3 linked regions of the Nothobranchius furzeri genome follow. The protein of the gene in region 1 interacts with the protein of each later gene in a biochemical or structural test. Links are inferred from orthologs where the notes say so. Each region holds a gene or a part of one and is shown in the gene's direction. Other genes may lie near its edges.

Region 1 (4,027 bases):
ACAGCTGCCCTGGGGCGCACTGACAGAGGCAAGGATGCCGAGCACAGGCGCCACCAGTCCCTCCGACCACCACCAGCAGGCAAGGTGGGTTAAGTGTCTTGCCCAAGGACACAACAGCAGAATCCTCTGCAACCTTCCGATTACTGGACAACCCGCTCAACCTGTTGAGCTACTGCTGCCCTAACACAACTTGAGCTGGACTGTGACCAAACTTAGCCTCACATAAACAGTACAATTGCACAAACAAAATAATTACACAAAATATTCAAATGGGGGTCATGTTCTCTAGCCTTTAACATTAACTGGTTCCCCACACTCTCCCCCACAAAATAAATGTCGTCCCAACAAAGCAAAAAACTCTGGAGCGGCTGATTCCTCAGCTGGTATGGAGGTAGGTTTGGAAGATAAGTCTCTGGAAATATTTTCTGTAGTATACAGTCTTTAACATGGCACTCATCTGCTATGTCACATCATGTTGTAAAGGCAGACATTACTGGCCAGGTGATATCTGCAAGGAGGATACTCTGCTATATCTGCAGGTCAGTATACCAGACTGTAAAGTTTAACTCAAAACTTAACATAACCGAACGTCATAACCAAGTGTAACACTAATAACACTAAATACGCACGCTCTTGGTATCAAAATGTGTCTTTAAAGAGCAAGTCAACCCCTACCAGAGTCTAACTCCACTCCCACTTCATGTTTGAAAAATGCAACACATACTGTTGCCTGGCAGACCGAGAGGGCGAAGCCGCTAACAAATACACACGCACTCAGGCTCACGACAGCAATGTGACATCATAATGTACCAGTTTACGTCATAGCATACTTCTTAGCCAATAGCAGTGGCAGATTTAAATTAGAATACAGTGCAGAGTTTTTACCTGACAACGGCACAACACTGCCAGTTTTAGGCAGAATATTTAAATTTTAACTAAGATGCACTGAAGTGCCAAATTATTGACGAAACGTGTCTGCAGCACGATTAGACACTCATTTATTTAGTTTAGCAGCAAAAAAAAATGTTTATTTGGGGATGACTTGCTCTTTAAAATTCCCGGACATCATAAGTGAAATCCATGGCACAAAACAAGCAGAATTAGAAAACAGCGTTTTTAGCCCCATTGACTTGCATTCATGTTTTCATTCTTCCGGGGACCCGTGACGCAGAAGTGACTTCCTTATATGGTATGGTGCTGTCGTGCCTCTGGCCACTCCGCCCCATGCTACAAGCTACAGCCAAGTATAGGCGAGCTGCTGCAGCTGCGTGTAAAACGTTGAGAAACAGTTTTTTTGATGTGGGTATCACCATCCCGCGTCCCGGAGGTGATTTCCTATTTCGAGGAATTGCTTGTTGCCGCGGTTTACAGTAGGCAGGTAGAGCATGGGGATGTCCTCACTTGGTGTTTTTTGCAGGCGTGGAGTTTTCCACTTTGACAAGTATCAGGCACCGAGAGGTTGAGTCGTGGAATGTCAACAAGCATGTAAACCTCTGCAGGCGGCTTCTGCGAGACGTCGGTGTGCTGCCGTCTGTTTTGTCAGCCTTATTTTTATTTCTTCTTTTTTTTCGGTGGCTTGTCAACTCATGAGCATCTTGCTGTTGGTCGAACAGGCTGCTTCATCACCGCGAGTCGAGCCAGCGGCTTAACAAGACCAGGTTGGTTGTTGCTGATGTTCTTTCTTCTGATCCAAGACGAACATGCATGGATTGTTAAAATCGAACATTGTTTCGTTTATGTGAATGCTTTGATTTGATCGTCCTGAAAATAGCTTTTCGACCAGTTCATGTTGAATTGCTTTTAACCTAAGTGACTTTTCATTTAGTTAAAACCTGACAATGGTAGTCAAACATATTTTTTTTTGGGGGGGGGGGGGGGATGTCACAGCCGGTGAGCCCGAGAGAGATGTTGAATTTCAAAGCCCCCAAAAAGCGATATGTATTATTATTTTTTTTTTTATCATGCTGCATCATCACAGTGACGGATTTAGACATTCTGAGAACCCACCCCGAAATATGGCACCACCGGACAAAGGTCTGCTCGCCTGATAAGGGTCGATGCTCATCTCCAACCCTCCGTTAATATGGAGGATGGATCGAAATAGTTCTTTTGTCAAGACCGCCATGCCCATATGTCTATTGGATGATCAACATTTAGCTGAGAATGTGTGTTTTGTTGCAGCGCTGTCACGATAAACAGACACGACTGATTGTGCGTGTGTGTGTGCGTGTGTGTGCGTGTGTGTGCGTGCGTGCGTGCGCGCGAGAACAACGATTGTAAAATTGCCATGATTTGACTCACGCGATGACTGGATGGTCACATTTTGTCATGTATAGGCTAATTCCTGAATGTAAAGAATAAAACAAGCACATGACCTGACAAGCAGTTCACATGCCTTCAGTTTTTGCTGAACAGTGTGCTTCCTTTCATATGACAATGACAATTTAACAGTTTGTCATCGACTTGACAGCTGCTTTTGTCTTCCTGTGTGTGACATTATGATATTTGCATCAGAAGCTTGGCTTTGTGATAAAGCGTACTGCCCATCTCTGTCTTTCTCTGCAGCTAACAAGTAAAGATGATGGCCCTTTATATGCACAAAAAGAACGCAGATGTGGAATTAGTCCAGTATTTGATGGGAAATTACATTTAGAAAAATTCCAGTCTGGTTTTAAGCCAGTCCACAGTACAGAATCTGCAATGCTCTGGGTTTTTAATTACATTTATTGGCAACTGATTCTGGGGACTTTATTTTGATATTGTTGGACCTATCGGCTGCATTCGATACTGTTGATCAGTCTCTCCTGATTTCTAGGATGGAAGACTTTGTGGGTGTTTGCAGGGTCGCGCTGGATTGGTTTGTGTCGCACGTGGCTGACAGAACCTTCAGTGTCTCATTGGGAGATTCTACAGGTCCTTCTCAAAAAATTAGCATATTGTGATGAAGTTCATTATTTTCAGTAATGTACTGATAAATATTAGACTTTCATATATATTAGATTCATTGCACAAAACTGAAGTAGTTCAAGCCTTTTATTGTTTCTAATATTGATGATTTTGGCATACAGCTCATGAAAACCCAAAATTCCTATCTAAAAAATTAGCATATTAGCATCTAAAAAATTTCATCCGACCAATAAAAGAAAAGTGTTTTAATACAAAAAAAGTCAACTTTCAGATAATATGTTCAGTTATGCACTCAATACTTGGTCGGGAATCCTTTTGCAGAAATGACTACTTCAATGCGGCGTGGCATGGAGGCAATCAGCCTGTGGCACTGCTGAGGTGTTATGGAGGCCCAGGATGCTTCGATAGTGGCCTTAAGCTCATCCAGAGTGTTGGGTCTTGAGTCTCTCAACTTTCTTCACAATATCCTACAGAATCTCTATGGGGTTCAGGTCAGGAGAGTTGGCAGACCAATTGAGCACAGTAATACCATGGTCAGTTAACCATTCACCAGTGGTTTTGGCACTGTGAGCAGGTGCCAGGTTGTGCTGAAAAATGAAATCTTCATCTCCATAAAGCTTTTCAGCAGATGGAAGCATGAAGTGCTCCAAAATCTTCTGATAGCTAGCTGCATTGACCCTGCCCTTGATAAAGCACAGTGGACCAACACCAGCAGCTGACATGGCACCCCAGACCATCACTGACTGTGGGTACTTGACACTGGACTTCAGGCATTTTGGCATTTCCCTCTGCCCAGTCTTCCTCCATACTCTGGCACCGTGATTTCCGAATGACATGCAAAATTTGCTTTCATCTGAAAAAAGTACTTTGGACCACTGAGCAACAATTCAGTGCTGCTTCTCTGTAGCCCAGGTCAGGCGCTTTGCCACTGTTTCTGGTTCAAAAGTGGCTTGACCTGGGGAATGTGGCACCTGTAGCCCATTTCCTGCACATGCCTGTACACGGTGGCTCTGGATGTTTCTACTCCAGACTCAGTCCACTGCTTCTGCAGGTCTCCCAAGGTCTGGAATCTGTCCTTCTCCACAATCTTCCTCAGGGTCCGGTCACCTTTTCTCGTTGT
Region 2 (4,217 bases), on another chromosome or scaffold:
TAATCATTACTAAACTGCACGAGACTGACCCTTGTTTTTCTGTTAGCAAAATGTCTCGTAGACCACTGAGTGGATTTTTAGTTTCTGTCCAGGATGGTGACCATGGCTAAGCAACATAAGCAATCACAAAATGAGTATACCTCCGTCATGTTTTACAGATTTTACATGTTCATGTGGCAGCAGCTGAGAGTCACAACACGTACCATGAATAGTAACTGATTGTGTGAAATCTTGTGATTTTGCATGAGGTTGCATAAAAAGATATGTTCAAGATTCAACCAAAATGGCTAAAACTCATTCAATCGTTTCTCAACACATTTTAAACTTTAAAAGAATGAATCATGTTTAATATTTTGGGGACGAGCTGTTCCAGTTATCTCTTATGCTACAAATCAAATTAATACCCATTCATTTGTCAAACTTAACCTCCTGGGACCCAAACTTGTATTTGGTTTGACTTAAAAGAAAAAAAAACATATCTAGCTATTACAGATTAGTTGACTGTAACACAAAAGTATATTTTTAAATTAAAGTCGATATAAAGTGTCTATAAATAATAACAAAAGGGTCTAAGTAGAAGAGAATAAAAAAGTACAAGGAGCCAATGTCCATATAAGTGGACACAGGGCCCTAGGAGGTTAAAATAAGTATGCTCCTATTTTCTGAAAGCTGTGGCACAACAGGCCAGTTTACCAGATCACACAGCTGTTGTGAGGTAACATCACATTATTTCAGATCAGGGCGACGAGGGGATTTTTTGTGGGGGGTTTTAATGGTCACTATGTAAGACACGCTCCCTGTCATTCTTCTCCCTGCTCCTCTGTCTCACTTGGTGGTTGCTCTGCCAGATAGAGGAACAATGTGGTCTTTCTTACCTGTCGGAGGGTGTACATTCCATCTCTGCTAAACTACGTCTCAATCCTGCCTCCAACAGGGCCCTCACTGCTGCAATGCTGGCTCTGACTCCAGGTGCTCCACATCCCACTCATACCTTTCATTTGGAGGGATACTGTTCTCTTACTTCGGACAGAGGCAACCATGTGGCTGGTTTTCACTCCGGTTTTAGGTGGTTTATTCGCTCCATTTAGGTTTATGTTACAAAGTTAGGCGTCAAAATTGCTTAAGTTTGCTTCAGGTTTGTAAACACCGACCTACTTCATTGTGGACTGACACAATGGTTGCTGTGGTTTGTGCCAGACTGTTGGTTTGTGGTTTGTCGTGAGGGCAAAAGGGAAATTTGGAGGTTGGGGTGAACGTTCTCTATTAAGGATACAAGAGAAAAAAAGAGCTGGTGTGGGTGCTTTACAGGAAGGTTACGTTTGTCTGCACAGAGCCATCCCATTTATTCTGGTGGATGAGTGTGCAAGCTAACACAGAGAGCTACAGATGAATAAGAGACCTGAGAGGCCTCATTTACCTCGTCTGATCTCTGACAACAGCTCTCACTGCTTTCCTTGTTCTCGCCTCAGGACTGTGCTTCACGTCTCTCTTTTCTCTTTCTCATGAGGATGATGAAGATGCTGCTCAGGTATGTTTGCTTTGGTATTTTTGACTTTAATGATATTTTTCTTTCTAGCTGTGAGTTTATGCAGAAACTTTATCATTTTTTATTTTTTAAACTGAAGCAACTCATGACACTTGATGCAATAATGTGACTGTAGAGTTTGATCCATTTAAAATATAAAATGTCAAGTTACTATTACTTATGAACAGTGAAATGTCATGAGATTTTCTTTACAGGTCAAAATTAAAATGTTCCCAATAAAACCATTCAGCCTTACCAGATTAATGTTACTGGTGATGAGTAGAAGTAGAATCACTGCTGAATATTTGACAACCTACATAAAGCTGCCATAAATAATACAAATTTAAAATACATGTGTAATTAATACATTTTCATGTTTTAGACATTTGACAAAATAATAAACAACAAGGACATGAGACAGTGTTATTAGTTCCTTAGAAATTATGATCCATGTTACAAATTAAATAACTGGTGTGTTTTAGTAAAATCAATATAACCATAATGAGAATTTTAAAAAAGAAATAAACACATTTCTCTAATTAGCAGATGCAAAATGGGTCCTGTACAGGTGGAATCTAATTTTTAGCCAAAACAATACATGCATGTCATCTTATTCCCTGTAATTTAATATTCAGACATAATCCAAAAATAGATTTAAATAATAAGCATCATTAAATTTTTCTATTAATAAAACCAAATAAAAGTAGGAGTTATGTTTTACGCCATAAACAACATAAGAAAATAGGTTTAATATTTTGTGTGGTTTTTGGGCTGCACTGTGGTGCAATGGTTGGAGCCTTGCAGCGAGAAGGTCCTGGGTTCGCGTCCCGGTCTGGGATCGTTCTGCATGGAGTTTGAGTGTTCTCCCTGTGCATGCGTGGGTTCTCTCCGGGTACTCCGGCTTCCTCCCACAGTCCAAAAGTATGACTGTTAGGTTAATTGGTCTGTCTAAATTGTCCTTAGGTGTGAGTGTGTGTGATTGTTTGTCCTGTGTGTCTCTGTGTTGACCTGCGATGGACTGGCTCTCTGTCCAGGGTGTACCCCCCCACCTGATTGCCCATTGACCGCTGGAGATAGGCACCAGCTACCCCCCCCCCCCCCCCCCCACACACACACACACACACACACACACCCACACCCACACACCCACACACGGCCGTGGACAAAGCGGGTTCAGACAATGAATGGATGGATGGATTTTGTGTGTTTTTTATAAATGAACAAATGGCACACATGTAAGCAATCGGGTTTTATTAGCAATATGTTACCATATTTCGAAAAACCCATATGGTTTTTGTTTGACGCTCTAGAAATGTTGATTATGTATTCAGTTTAGGTGAGTTTTCTTGCAAATTGTGCAACTCACAAAATAGTTTTGCATTTGTTTTCTGTTAGTTGTGTTCTGTTTGAAGAGACTCAGTAGATAAATGTCGCTGGAACATTCTGAGTTTAAATTCCCTAAATGTGACAGATTGTGCTCATCTGCATAGTAAACCACAATCTGCATAAATTTATGATAACTGCATTTTATGGGGGGGACGCAAAACATTAGATTCTAACTGGCTTAATTAAAAAACCTACAAATTACAGCCCACTTAAATTTCCCAAACAGTCATCTGTCCTTAGTTTGTCTCTTAGAGCACGCTGTTTTCCCACAGATTGTCTTATCAGGGCTTGGCATAGCTGCACCCTGGAACAGCTGATGGGAGGAGTCAATTCAACTGAAGTAAACCTTTTACCAGCTCCAAAAAGCCATCACTGCTACGAAACTGTCTCTCATTTAACTCCAGCAAGTAAAAAAAACATGCCATTTCTCAGAGACGTGTGCGTGAAGGTTTCTGACTTAACAGGGCTGAGTGACAAGGACTTTTGTGTCTCCGCCAGGTTGAGTTTTTGAAGCAAATCCATCTCCTGAATGTGTTCAGCAGCCAACTATGTTCTCCCCTTGAGGAGAACCTGTGAGGTAGGTCTGCGAGGAACGTCAGATCAAGCCTCAAACAACAATGTGTTTCTTGTTTGTTTATTTTTCTAACTATAAGGAGGTAGCTGCTCCAGGCAGGCTGTGTGGAGGAGTGTCCATCCACGCTAATTTAACTGGAGTCAGGCCACATGGCGCTCCACAGGACTCAGACATGGATGTGGCTTGGCAGGAGCTAATGGCCATCACAGAGTTACAGGTAAAGTCTATAAATAACTTAAAGTTTCATTTATTATTATTATTCAGCAAAAGATTCAACGAGTTAATAATAAGTTATATAATTCATATAATCTGATAACTTTATTATGTTTGTAATACGAAATAGGGAGTAAATCATTCTTTGATTGATGTTAAATAAGAAATATTAAAGTAATATTTAAAAGTAATGAACAAAATGGAACATTTACATGCCAAATGCACAAATTATGTATTTTAGACAAACACATTATGAGAAAAATAAGTTTTTGCTTTTTCTTGATAACTAGATGCTTTATTTTAGGCATTCTATCACTTTAAAGCAAATAATAATGGCAATAATCATAATAACATAAATTTACCCCAACGCAATAATGCAGATTAATAGATTCTATGCATTTTGACTGATTTTTAAGCAAACTGCAGTGTGCTTTAAGTAGTTTTTGTCCGTGAAAGTGACAGAATAAAATTGTTCCTAAATGCACTCCATAAATGACAATTTATTCCATTCATAATTTT
Region 3 (4,073 bases), on another chromosome or scaffold:
GAGGAGGGGATTTTCCGTTGGCTGATGAAAGCTTAACACTAGAATGTTCTACGCATGCTCTGTGTGTGCGCGTGTTTTCGCTAGAGCTAGGGTAGGCTAACCGGCCCAGCTAGTAATTTTGCAAGTCATGGAGGGCCATTTAATGAGGAAAGGCTGGATAAAGCTTTAACAGCAACCTCAGTGGAACTGCTAATGAAACCAGGCTTGATGAAGGGTTTAAGATCATTATGAACGTGCGGCCATGAAGACACAGCTGCTAAGTTTGGCGTAAGTATGAATTAAGATGTTTTATTTAAATTATCGCGTGCGTTTATATATGGTCCCTAGTGTTTCATGGTAACACTCCCATCAGTGGGTATAATTAAAGTAGTATTTGTGGTTTAGTTGCTGGATACATTTTGTTGACCGTACAAGTTACTTTTAAAAGGAGCCGGATGGTTAAGTTAGATAGCAGCAAACTAGCTCGCAGGGCTAGCATAGTAGGGTTTGACTTGCATTTGATTGTGTCTCTAAATCCCGCCTGTGCTTGTTTCGTACTGGCGGAGACGGGCTGGAGTCATGTGACGTCGCTACCATTGAAGCCTGTAATTGGCTGAGCTATGTGTCGATCGTGTATTCACCACTTGTTGCTAGGGAGATTGTTTGATATCCTCGGGGGCGAAAGTAAATATTAGCAGGCGCACCTGTCACTTTTTGAGCTAAGCAGAGATGCGAGACTATAACTTAATGCTGCGGCCCGTCTCCTCATTGTTACTTCATGTTGATGAAGATGGTGTGTATACATATATATGTATAATTGTAGGCGGCTTGTAAACTATGAGGTAGCTAACAGCTATCGTGGTTAGGACAAAGATAGGCGCAGCTGTGCTTGAGGAGGGAGGGACCCAGCCTGCCGCCTATCAGCTATCTGTGGTGCGAGCCAGAGCCAGTCCAGCGAGCTTTCTCGACTCCCATTCACCTTCAGCAGCATCCACCAGAAGTAGTTGTCCTGTCAAGGGTGGGGTGATGCATTGCTCTGTTTTTATCATGTCTGCTCTGCGGAATATCCAAGAATGAAGAGGCACTACGTTGTTACTTCGTTTCTCCTGTCTTGGAACGATGAAGTGGTTTCAGTGGGCGAGCAAGTCCTGCTTTCTTTTTTCTTTAATTTACATGGTTTAATGTGAATGTAGGTAGCATCGAATCGCGAGTTTAAAGTAAAATGACTGTTCAGTGTGAGCTGATGTAGATTGTAACGTTTACATTCTTGTTTTCTTCTCAGAAACTGGAAAATGAGAACCTTATGAGGAACATACCCTGAGAAGTGGAACCTGATTTTGGATCTTAAACTCCTCTCAAACTTACTTTTGAAGACCCCTTTGCCCTCCTCAGTCACTTTTATGTTTGTATTTCTGTTTCCCTCTTTTAGTGTTAGCAAAGATTTATTGATCAAAGAAAGTTGGCCCAATTTTCATTTTTATCTTTTGCTTTTATTTTTTGTTCCGTTGTAAAGAAATGCTTTACCTGAAAAAGTACTTCACAGAGGGCCTGATTCAGTTCACCATCCTTCTGAGTCTCATTGGGGTGCGGGTGGACGTTGACAGCTATCTCAGCAATCAGTTGCCCCCATTAAGAGAGATCATCCTGGGGCCTAGCTCAGCCTACACCCAGACACAGTTTCACAACCTCCGCAACACGCTGGACGGTTATGGGATCCATCCAAAGAGTGTGGACCTGGACCATTTTTTCACTACCCGACGGCTGCTAAACGAGGTGCGCCAGCTGGATCGCCTCTCTGTGCCCAGTACTGAGCTCAACACCTGGCTGGTGCATCGTGACTCTGAGTCTGTAGTATCTGCCAGCAGTCAGTCCAGCTCCAGCATAACCCTGGACAATGGGGCCGGCTTAGAGGACATTAACAACATTGAAGTTACCCCGGCCATGAGGGGAGGAGGTGGAGCACCTGAATCTACATACAACTTGAATGCAGCCGACAGCGGCCTGGGAGCTGGGGCCCCAGAAGAAAACCAGGAGCAGGGCAACAGAAATGGCAACGACGACCTCACCAAAGAGGTACATCTTGATGTTTGTAGCTTCTCTCTGAAGAGCATTGGTAAGCTAGAAGGAAGGCAGTGGTATGTCTGTCACTGCAGGCCAAGCACACTTGTTATGACTGATTTAGAGAAATAAAAATATTTTATGTAAGTGACACCATTTAGAGTTGAAGTTCACTTCCAAGGTAAACAATAGCTTAAAATGTCACAAACCCTAAATGATCATAAATTGTTAATTCAGATGAAATCATTTATGGTCCACACCCCTGGTCTCTTTTGTTTTTTTTTCCTTCTATTGGTGTCAGATATTTTTAGTCAAACCAGTTGAGTCACATTCATCTCAGCTGGGCACATTTACTGTCCAAAAGGGTGGAACTTTAAAACGCTCAGCTCAAAGGTTGTTCAAATTAATGTTATTGCTGTTCACACACAAAATGGCCAAATGGACAGTTTGGTGTCACACAAAGTCACATGTTCATTTATTTTTGATCACATGATGACCACCATGCCAAAGTGTTTATATCATGGTGGCGTCATCTGATTTGTGTTTCGTGATCTGTTCCTATGAGATTATTTCAGCTCTGAGGAAAAATACAAAAGTACTCTATCTGAGCTTTCTCCTGACCAAAAATAAGTAACTCAGTTTGTTTGTAACAAAGATTTTGGACTTTATTCAAGAGTGATTTGGTTTTCCTAACAACATCTCTTTTCTTAAGTGTATAGGGTGGTTTTCTAGTCATTCTTGTGTCTTTTTCAGGACATTGACTTGATTGACATCCTATGGCGACAGGACATTGACCTTGGTGCAGGAAGAGAAGTGTTCAGCTACACCAACCGTCAGAAGGAGACCGAGGAAGAGAAGTCCAACCCTCAAGAGGACAAAGATGGAAAAGAGGAACAGGAGAGCTGGAGGAATGGCGTAAATTTACAGGGAGCTAAGCCGGTAGACGGGGAGACGGGAGAGAGCATACAAGAGCAGGTTTGTTGGGACTAAACACATCCTTATGGGCTCAAGAATTATTATAATGATGTGGAATTATTTCCAGTTAGTTAGTGGGTTTCAGTGGAAACATTTAGCTGAACATTTGTATCAAATGTGTATAGATAGCTTTTTTTATGATTGCATCAACCAAGGATTTATTTATTTTTCCCAAGAAAGAAAATACTCCTGAACTTACGAGATCCAAGCAAGTTTAAATTGTGTCTTTAGGTACATTTTTACTGCTTAAGTACCGCCCCCTACCAGGGCAGTTCCCTGGGGTAAATAGTGGAAATACAGAAAACTCCCCAGGTTTCCAAAGCGGTAACCTGCCTTCTCAGTTTGTTTCTATTTTGTGTTTGTCTATGAAAAAAGCCAAAGAGAAGGCATGATGCAGAGTTTAGCACTAATTTTTAAAGAATGTATGGCCGCATAGCTGAACATTATTTTTGAGTTGACTAAATGCTAGTCAGCTGTAGATGTACATCCAGTGATTGATTCACTTCTGTGCAGTGGTACATGAGACATCGTCCTGATGAACACACAGACAAAAGAATTATCAGCCACCTTTCAGCAGCAGGTGTCATTGTTTTCATCTCATCGTAAACCAGCCTGTTCTTCAGCTTAAAAAGACTCAAACACTGCCTCATGAAGCAATTTCAAAGACCTTCTTGCATAATAGTTTGAAATTTCATTCCTACACATGCATCCTTGTGATGCAGCTGATGATGCAGATTTAGAGTTTAGATGGTTGCTGAGACAAGTTCTTAATTTGTAAGGAAAAGCGAAAAGCACAAGAACAGGTTTTATTTTCATTTTTATTATTTGAGGTTCGTCGGGTACCCCTGTAGCATGTTGCGCGTTCTTTCTGTTGCCAGCTGCCAGGTCTTGGCTCACAGACTTCACTGTCACTACAGGAGTGCTTGAGACTGTTGGAGGCCACGTTCCCATTTGGAGAAGAAGCCGAGGTAAGATTGGAACGTCTGCAGATGTGTGCTTTGTAAGCGTTACTGTGGATTTAACCTTTTTGGTGTGTTTAATTAGTTCCCAGTTCCGGTTGT

Evidence for each region.
Region 2: the proteins of mafga (region 1) and nfe2 form a complex in vitro, tested with the Homo sapiens proteins (2 studies listed by BioGRID and IntAct, with this or other methods). The link is inferred for Nothobranchius furzeri from reciprocal best matches to the Homo sapiens genes MAFG and NFE2.
Region 3: the proteins of mafga (region 1) and nfe2l1b form a complex in vitro, tested with the Homo sapiens proteins (2 studies listed by BioGRID and IntAct, with this or other methods). The link is inferred for Nothobranchius furzeri from reciprocal best matches to the Homo sapiens genes MAFG and NFE2L1.

Annotation. Positions count from the first base shown.
Region 1 is NC_091752.1:59,016,532-59,020,558, forward strand, and holds the start of mafga (v-maf avian musculoaponeurotic fibrosarcoma oncogene homolog Ga), read left to right. Parts: upstream 1-1,219; 5' UTR 1,220-1,658; intron 1,659-4,027. UniProt on the Homo sapiens protein: Since they lack a putative transactivation domain, the small Mafs behave as transcriptional repressors when they dimerize among themselves.
Region 2 is NC_091755.1:25,762,743-25,766,959, forward strand, and holds the start of nfe2 (transcription factor NF-E2 45 kDa subunit), read left to right. Parts: upstream 1-1,415; 5' UTR 1,416-1,528; intron 1,529-3,280; exon of another isoform or gene 3,281-3,318; intron 3,319-3,409; 5' UTR 3,410-3,440; coding exon 3,441-3,488; intron 3,489-3,564; coding exon 3,565-3,702; intron 3,703-4,217. UniProt on the Homo sapiens protein: Component of the NF-E2 complex essential for regulating erythroid and megakaryocytic maturation and differentiation. Binds to the hypersensitive site 2 (HS2) of the beta-globin control region (LCR).
Region 3 is NC_091756.1:50,109,393-50,113,465, forward strand, and holds the start of nfe2l1b (endoplasmic reticulum membrane sensor NFE2L1b), read left to right. Parts: upstream 1-1,271; 5' UTR 1,272-1,494; coding exon 1,495-2,052; intron 2,053-2,790; coding exon 2,791-3,012; intron 3,013-3,890; coding exon 3,891-3,980; intron 3,981-4,056; coding exon 4,057-4,073.